2 linked regions of the Arabidopsis thaliana genome follow. The protein of the gene in region 2 interacts with the protein of the main gene of each other region in a pairwise test. Each region holds a gene or a part of one and is shown on either strand. Other genes may lie near its edges.

The links.
Region 1: the proteins of GATA20 (region 2) and HMGA interact in a two-hybrid assay, tested with the Arabidopsis thaliana proteins (one large-scale study listed by BioGRID).

Annotation. Positions count from the first base shown.
Region 1 is NC_003070.9:5,137,556-5,141,625, forward strand, and holds HMGA (high mobility group A), read right to left. Parts: upstream 1,913-4,070; 5' UTR 1,799-1,912; coding exon 1,715-1,798; intron 1,641-1,714; coding exon 1,110-1,640; 3' UTR 561-1,109; downstream 1-560. Other genes in the region: AT1G14890 (Plant invertase/pectin methylesterase inhibitor superfamily protein), read left to right, coding at 1-149; AT1G14910 (ENTH/ANTH/VHS superfamily protein), read right to left, coding at 2,373-3,110, 3,246-3,361, 3,450-3,528, 3,617-3,799, 3,890-3,970, 4,061-4,070. UniProt on the Arabidopsis thaliana protein: Binds A/T-rich DNA with a highly dynamic distribution into the nucleus.
Region 2 is NC_003071.7:7,982,000-7,986,086, forward strand, and holds GATA20 (GATA transcription factor 20), read right to left. Parts: upstream 2,128-4,087; 5' UTR 2,019-2,127; coding exon 1,680-2,018; intron 1,157-1,679; coding exon 869-1,156; 3' UTR 557-868; downstream 1-556. UniProt on the Arabidopsis thaliana protein: Transcriptional regulator that specifically binds 5'-GATA-3' or 5'-GAT-3' motifs within gene promoters.

The DNA.
Region 1 (4,070 bases), on a different chromosome or scaffold from region 2:
CGGACGAGGAGACGTGTACGGATGGGGTCACGGAGGAGATGGAAGACGGAGAGACGAAGACGGCTATTTGCGATAGAGTCGCCGACGTCAAGAGGTTCACGAGTAATGCGCTCGCTCTCGTTAATACCTACGCCAACAATGGAGCCTAACTAACTAAGCTAGGTCTTGAAATTCCTAAAGTTATAAAAACACTTGTATATATATATGTGTTAAGTTGTGTGCTTAGTTTATAATGTGTATTCGAGGCTTTGAAACCGAGTTAGAACTCTGAGTTTGGGTGTTCAAATTATACATTAATCTATGTTTGATTGTATTAATATTAATATATGTCATATGTGTTTATATGGTGTGTGCTATATGAGTAATGAAGATAATTATACATGGTTTTGATGAGTAAATTTGATACATGAACCTGGTTTTTTTTTTTTTTTTTTTTTCTTTGATGAATTTGGATATGATATGGATGAATTTTGGCCATCATGTCTAAGGGGAACTGAAACCCGTGAGATGATTAGAACATCTGACTATGACCCCAAAGTTTGTCTATTAGTGGCCCACTCTAAAATCTTTACGAAAACAAGGTTTTGTCCTTTTTGTTCACGGGGATGCCAAAAAGCTTCCATACTCTGTTCACAGTTTCTATTTCAATCCCTATTGATAATGATTACACACATTCGCTTCACAGATTTTTCTAATTGAATTCCCTTTGAAATTTTCAACTCCCGCGCTGATTCCACAGTGATTCTTTCTTCTGCTAACTGTAGCATAATTAAATTAGTGACAATAATGAATGTTTAGCATTACCAATTACATAGTTTTCCCCTCATTATTAAGTGTGAAAATGAAATCAAAGCAGCAATAATTGTTCAACAAGAGAACAAAGTTTCACATAACACAATGCAGTAATAATAATAATACACAGTCGCTAATGTTATATCTTATCTCAGGACTAAGCAACAACACACACACAAATTCTAAAGTTTACAATCCAAATACTGAAAGAAATCCAAATAAATCTAATTAAGCTAAATTAAAGCACTCTCTTACTCTCTAAGAGATTCCATTTTTCAGTAACTAAAGATTCCGAAATTGCATAAGTACCGATTAATTCAGCACCCAACCGGAGCAACCACCGTCGGCTTCACCTTCGGAGGTCTCCCACGTCCCCTACGCTCACCTGTCGCCTGAGCTGCCGGTTCCGGCGCAGCAACCGTCTCCGAATCTGTTCTCGGTCTCTTCGGTGGTCGTCCTCGTGGCCTTCCAGATCCGGTAATGACCTTCTCCTGGGGAGGCTCCGATGGATCTTTCGGCTTCGGTGGACGGCCACGAGATCTAGGCGGATCTGTAGAGACGACGGTGGCAGCAACAACAGCAGCAGCAGCGGCGTCAGATTCGGCCTGAGTCTTCTGCTTCGGAGGACGGCCACGACCACGCTTAGGAGGAGCATCTGGATCTGGTTTCATATAATTGTTCTTCACCATGATTAGCTGACCGGTTTTCTTCATCTGGTTGAGATGGTAGCTGAGCAGCGTCATGTGTGACGGCGGTAGAGTTTGTTGAGTCGACTCGATGTGCTTAGCAATCGTCGTTTTGTTGCAGCCGTTCTTATCGTTCAAGGACTCAATCGCTTCCATTATCATCTAAACACAAATTTCAACCAAAATTTCAGAAACTAAATTGAGAGAGATTGAGAGATTTTAGGGGTGTACTTCACCTGAGGATAAGGTGGGAGAGAAAACGACGGAAGTTCTGATGAATGCGTATCTGAAGCTGAGCCATGGTGGAGATCGAAGGCCATGTCAAGCGTAGAGAGTGTGTGAGGTGATGAAGGAAGGAATCTGTGTGAGGAGGGATTTTAAAAAGCAATTTGGGAAAGTGGTTTTCTCATTATTCTCATATTAACTTGTAGTGTTGATCTGACGGTTGGGGTTTTCAAACTTACGGGTTGATCCAACGGCTCTGAGTTTATAGCAGCTTTCTCGAGCAGGATTACTGACGTGGACATATGGGAATGACTTCTGCTGACTATTACCCTTAAATTACCTAATTCTCCTCCAATCTTCCTTTTTTATTCAACGAATGGCCATTGGTTCAGCCTAGCTGGATTACTAGAACAGAAAACGACATACTACGTAGCGTTTTTGCTAATCATATTTCAAATTATTTTGTTAATGTAACACAATGAGTTATATATATCTTTCATTTTTTTTCCACCAATGAAAATTCATTTATATAATCAATCCCGAGGAGTCTTTCTCTATTAGCAGAACAAGATTTGCAAGACTAGAAGATGATGTGATTTTATTACTACTCACAAACAATAGAATCATATGAGACAAATAAAGCATTTTGAGAAATATACGAAGATGGGATCACAAGAAGCCCGTGCTGCCGAAGGGGTTGTTGCTGTTATGTTGCTCATGAGCACCTGCGTTTACCGGGAACTCCCCAAAACCCGTGGTGTTTTGCGGTTCTGAAACCGGGACTACTGGAAATTCCCCCAAACCGGTGGTCTTTGACGGTTCTGATACCGGGATTACTGGTAATGCCCCAAACCCAGTGGTGTTTTGTGGTGCTGAAACCGACACTACTGGAAATTCCCCAAAACCGGTGGTGTTTGATGGTTCTGAAGCCGGGGTTACTGGTAATGCCCCAAACCCAGTGATGTTTTGTGGTTCTGAAACCGGCACCACTGGAAATTCCCCAAACGCGGTGGTGTTTGGCGGTTCTGTAACCGGGACTACTGGAATCTCCCCAAAGCCGGTGGTGTTTGACGGCTCTGAAACCGGTACTGGAAATGCCCCAAAACTGGTGGTGCTTTGTGGTTCTGAAACCGGAACTATTGGAAACTCCCCAAAATCACCAAAAGGATTTGCAGGGCTGGGTGCAACCTGTAGCTGTGGCTGCTGCTCTTGTTGATGATAGGTTGGCTCATAGAGACCGAATGGGTTGTTTACGGCTGAAGGCGGTGAAACACTGTCTGAAAATGCAAACAGGTCTTGGACCTCAAACGGATTGGAAGCTGGGACGCCATAGGCAGGCTGTTGGGCTGCTCTCAAGGCTCCATCGTCATATAGACTGTTCAGGGTGAGCGTGTCTAATCCACCCGCCTTGCATTTGTTGCAGAAAAAAATGTTAATGATTCAGAAGCCACAAAATCAATTCCCCAGAGGTGACATACGTTAACAGGACAATGGTACGTAATTGATGCATCCCATTATCACTAATACAAGAATACATCTTACCAGCTGTCTCTCTGTGGCTGCAGATATATCATTGCTAGGTGTTGTGACCAACGCAAGCTCCCATCCTGACGGATCCAAATCTCTTGCTTGCCCAAAACTAAACGGCGAAGAATCAACTGGAAACAGAAACATAACCAGAATTGCGACTAAAGACAAGCAAGAAAGGCAAACTTAGAGCTCCAGTACATAGACCAAGAAGCTCACCATCATTGGAAACTAAGGCCAAAGCTAGTGCATTTTGGTCCAGGATTGCTAACGGATCAGGTGTATCATCATGCAGACCCTGTGTGTAATACTGAGAGAATCAGAGACAAAAGGATAACAATGACAGAATAAAGAAATCAAGACCATATGTAATAAGCATAATTTACCAATAGATCATCAGTATCAATGAAGTTCTGTGGAGTTTCTACTGAAGGAGGAGACTGGGAAGAAAGTTGCGTTTCTTCAGAGGGAACAACGGCACTATCTGAAGGCGATGATGTTTCATGTTCTTCATGTGAAGGTCCAACATCTTCAGAAGTAAGACCATCATCAGGCGTATAGGTCAGAAGCTGTATGTTGACAAAGTTTTTAGAAATAAGTTATAAAAGAAAAATCATGGTTTCTGTAGGAGTAGGACCACAATGAGAGTATATATGTACCAGTGGCCCAGATGTGACGTCGACCATCTGAGGTGCGTCTCTCATATATTCCTCCATTGTTGTAAGAAAAGATTGTGGAGGCTTGAAAAAAACAAAAATAGACTTATTTAGTATTGATAAAGTACCTGCCATCACAAATTTAAATGTAACAAACAAGTTATTATCTGATACCTCTCTTAAA
Region 2 (4,087 bases):
AACCCAAAAACAGAACGACTTGCAAGAGATTTTGGGTAAATATTTGCTGAGGTGGGAAGCATATTTTTATGTTATTTGTCAAGAACATGTTAATGTTCTGAAGCAGTTGACTTTATTTTATACTCACCAAAGACATAATTACCATTACTACAAGCTCTTTCAACAATTATAGTATCCAAGATTGTAGATAGAAAAACATTTCATTAGGAGTTTGAAATTCACTCTTCCCGGAACAGATTTTTAGCAAGTAATTTCCACTTACATTACTTTGCCTCATGACCCCTCACTAATTGTTTCACTCAGATTTGTCTCCCTTATAAGTGATCTCAATTCTCAAACTTGTCTTTTAAATACTTTTTTTTTTGTGTAGGAACCAAGAAAAGAGCTAGAAAATCCGCCAAATTTAAGTAACAATACCCTTTTGGCTAATTTTGCATTCATATGATATGAAATAAAATGCGAGGACGGTATTTGTATTTGCTAAAAAGAAGCAAAACTAGATCACTTAACGTTGCATCGAAAAATGTTAAAGACTTAAAAAGACGATATGAAGTAAAGTTGAAATATATGTATCATATACGGTCAAAGTAAGTGGAAACATCATGAAAAGGGTTATAAACTACGTATTTATCATTAACACCAATATAGCTTTCAAAAAAGTCGTGAAAAGAAAACACAAGTAGCTAGAGTCGAAAAAAAAAACTATAACAATAATGAATTTGACCAAGACTGGTTTTACTTTGTGTGATAGAATCTATGATAATTAACTTTTCATCATCATCATCATGATTTATATAATTAACGTTTCTTCTTCATCTCGTCAAAATGGTAAAGAAGGCGATCGAAGTCGGACTTGCTCACGTGACACTCAATTCCAAGACATAAAAGAAGAAGCCGTGACGTTATCCACGTAGGGATATTCCATCTCCGGAACCGGTGAGAAATATGGAACTCTTTGTGTGTTCTGATGAGCCCACGACGGCGACGACGAGGCATAGTGATGATGATGATGACTGTAATAGTTTCCACCTCCGTTGTACGAATTCTCTACTGGGACTTCTGCCGCTGATGAACCTCCACCGGAGATCGTTAAGTTTCTGGCCGTCGCACGCCTCTCCTCTTTCTTGAATCGGATTCCACACGCGTTACATAACGACTGCACCAAGTTAACATTGTATATGTTACATCCAAAATATCTTTGAAAATGTAGTTATTATAGACATGTGATTATATGGAGATTGTATAATAAATATTAGGGAACAACTTTATAGACTTTATACAACTTGAATTAAAAAGATTTAAAAAGAAATCACTTATTTTGTTTTATGGTTTAGGGTAAAGTTTATTAACAAAAAAATAAAAATAAAAATAGTTTAGGGTAATGTATTTATGGAAAAAAAAAATATAAAACAACCAAGAAAGTATATGATGTTACAAAATTTGATTAGAAAAATAATAGTAATTTTTCATAGAATAGTTCCGCATGGTATATAACAGTTTGAGTTTTTTGAAGTTTTGAATTGCCAAAATCATACTTTTTTACTTTCATTACAATCTAAATACTTTTTCAACAATCCATGTACTATTTTCATTAGGCATATTTATCTATGGACCTATGGTCATCTCGGCATTGACACTTATCACATTATCTGATCGTACATGATCTATTAATTAATTACCTTAGGTCCTTTTGGTCCGTTTCTCCATAGAGGAGTTGAAGTGGTGTCGCAGCTAGCACAACGGCGAGGTAGGCTATGAGCAACACCACCCTTCTTGTACGAAGAAGTCTTAGCGTTTCCTCCGTGAATATAAAAGTCGCCGGAGATGTTGTTAGAATTAGCAGAAGAAAATCTATGGTGGTCGTCGAGACGAGTAGAGGGTGTTCCAAGTGAGAGAGTGCAATCAACAGAAGTTGATGAAGAGAAATTATTATAAGGATCGTAGTTGTGGTGGTTTTGGTCGTCATTTTCCGAGGAAAAAAACATGGAGAAATTAGAGTTTGTTTGGTATCCCATCATGAAATTGAAGACTACAGATAGAGAGAAAAAAAATGGATAGAGATATGCGTGTTGTTTTGGTGGCTTTGTGATTTAAGTTACAAGTTACAAACTGAGACATGGTACATATATATAGACAGTTGGAAACTTAAGTAACGACAAAAGGGAATTTGGTCTGTGGTAGCTAAATGTGATCGAATCTATTAATGTAGTGCAGATTACATTATTTGTTACTTTATCTAAAGAAAGCAACAATTCTACAATGAAAATGAATATTCTCTAGGGCTTTAAATCATTGAATATTATTTTTGTCGGAGTTTCTTGGTATGGAAGACAAATTATTCGACAATTCTATTTTCGACGCCGATTTGATACAGTAAGCAATAAGACTTCGTCGGCGAGTTATGTGTGCTCGCAAGTCGCAAGAATTCCACACTGACATCAACCAAGAGTATATTTATTTCAGTTGTTTACATCCAAATTTAAATTCATGATATTTTTACTAATCCTATTCCTCGCCTTAGAAAACGTAGTTTATCTCCGACTCGTTTCATTTTTATTGGATATCTTCAAAACAAGTTTTCCATGTAAACAATACATGAAATGAGTAGTCTCCTTTTGATGTTTGTTTCAAATAAAAGTGAATACAAGCACACTAGTAAAGGTAGTTTAACATTAGTAAGAAAAATACAGTAGATTTGGCATTTATATATTTTGATGAACTTAAAAGATCTTATGAAATAATATCTTTTAGACCATCTTCATTGGACAACTTCATCTGAGACCATCTAAATATTAAACTAAGAAAATCAAAACCAATCAGAATATTACACATAGTTCAAGAGGGTCTTCAAAGATGTCTTCAGTGTCTGGTTAAAGACATTTTTGTTTCTCTTTCTTCATTTGTGTCTTTAATTAAATATTAAAAAACTGGGAAGACATCTCCATTTATCACCAATGGAGATGCTCTTAGTGCCGATACAATAAAGTAATAATGATAAGTGTTGTGTATCTGCAGTTTTAGTGTCGGACGGGGTTGGTCAAAAGAGGCCCACGTGAGTGACAATGTCACGGTTTTCTAAGGATCTTGTCTCTCTTAGATTACCAAGCTCCTTTCACTCATCCCTCGTCTAAACATTCATTTTCTATTTTGATATCGATCACCATAACAAAAATATTGAACTATGTATATTTGTTGTCAAATCTGAATTTCGGGTAGAGAAGATAATGTGGAACTACCATGCATATATACATATATACTTTCAAAAACCAAATTTAGAGAAGTCTTTAGTTATTTGTCGTTTTAGAACAATGTCAGTCATCACTACTATTGGACCAGGGAATTGAAAACAGTAGATCTAATATTGAAGCTTCTTAGACATAAAAATGTATATATGAAAATATATATGTTAAGAACTTAAGATAGTAGAATTATTATTATTATTTTTTAAAGATGATAGAAACTAAGGTGAAATAGTACTGTTTAAGCTAAGAACGAAAATAAAAAGGGTAAAGTTAAAGAGAATTACGAAGTGAGATTCTTGGCAATGATCAAAAGCAACATCTTGTGTTCTTTCTTTGGCTTGGGGAGCGAGAGATTCAATTGATCAGTCAAAGAAGCAAACTCCAACTCAAAATATTTTTAAAGCAAAAAAAGTACAAAAGCGAATAAACTCAACTGGATATATTACACCAAACACTCAATTGCTACTTCTTTTTCTTTTTTTCTTCTTCCTTTTCCCAATTTTGGGTTATATACTTAGTTCGTTCCTCTCTTAAAGTAGATGATGTTTTCGCCAAGACAAGAATATTAGTAAATAACTAAATATCAAGTCTTTGATAAGCTTAACACGAAAGCAAGTTGGCTTAAACGTAAGGTGATCTCTTCAAATAGTTTTTCTAATGAAATATATATGCATTTTTGGTTGAAGGACCAATGATTAAAGGACTCGTTCTAAAGTTAGAGACCAAAATTCGAGTTATAATTACAATTATAGGTGGTCACCGTATATTTTGCCGTAAATATGAAGAATACCTTTACTTTGTCCATTTCTTATTTTCTTGTGGCACACTCCAAATATGAAATGAAA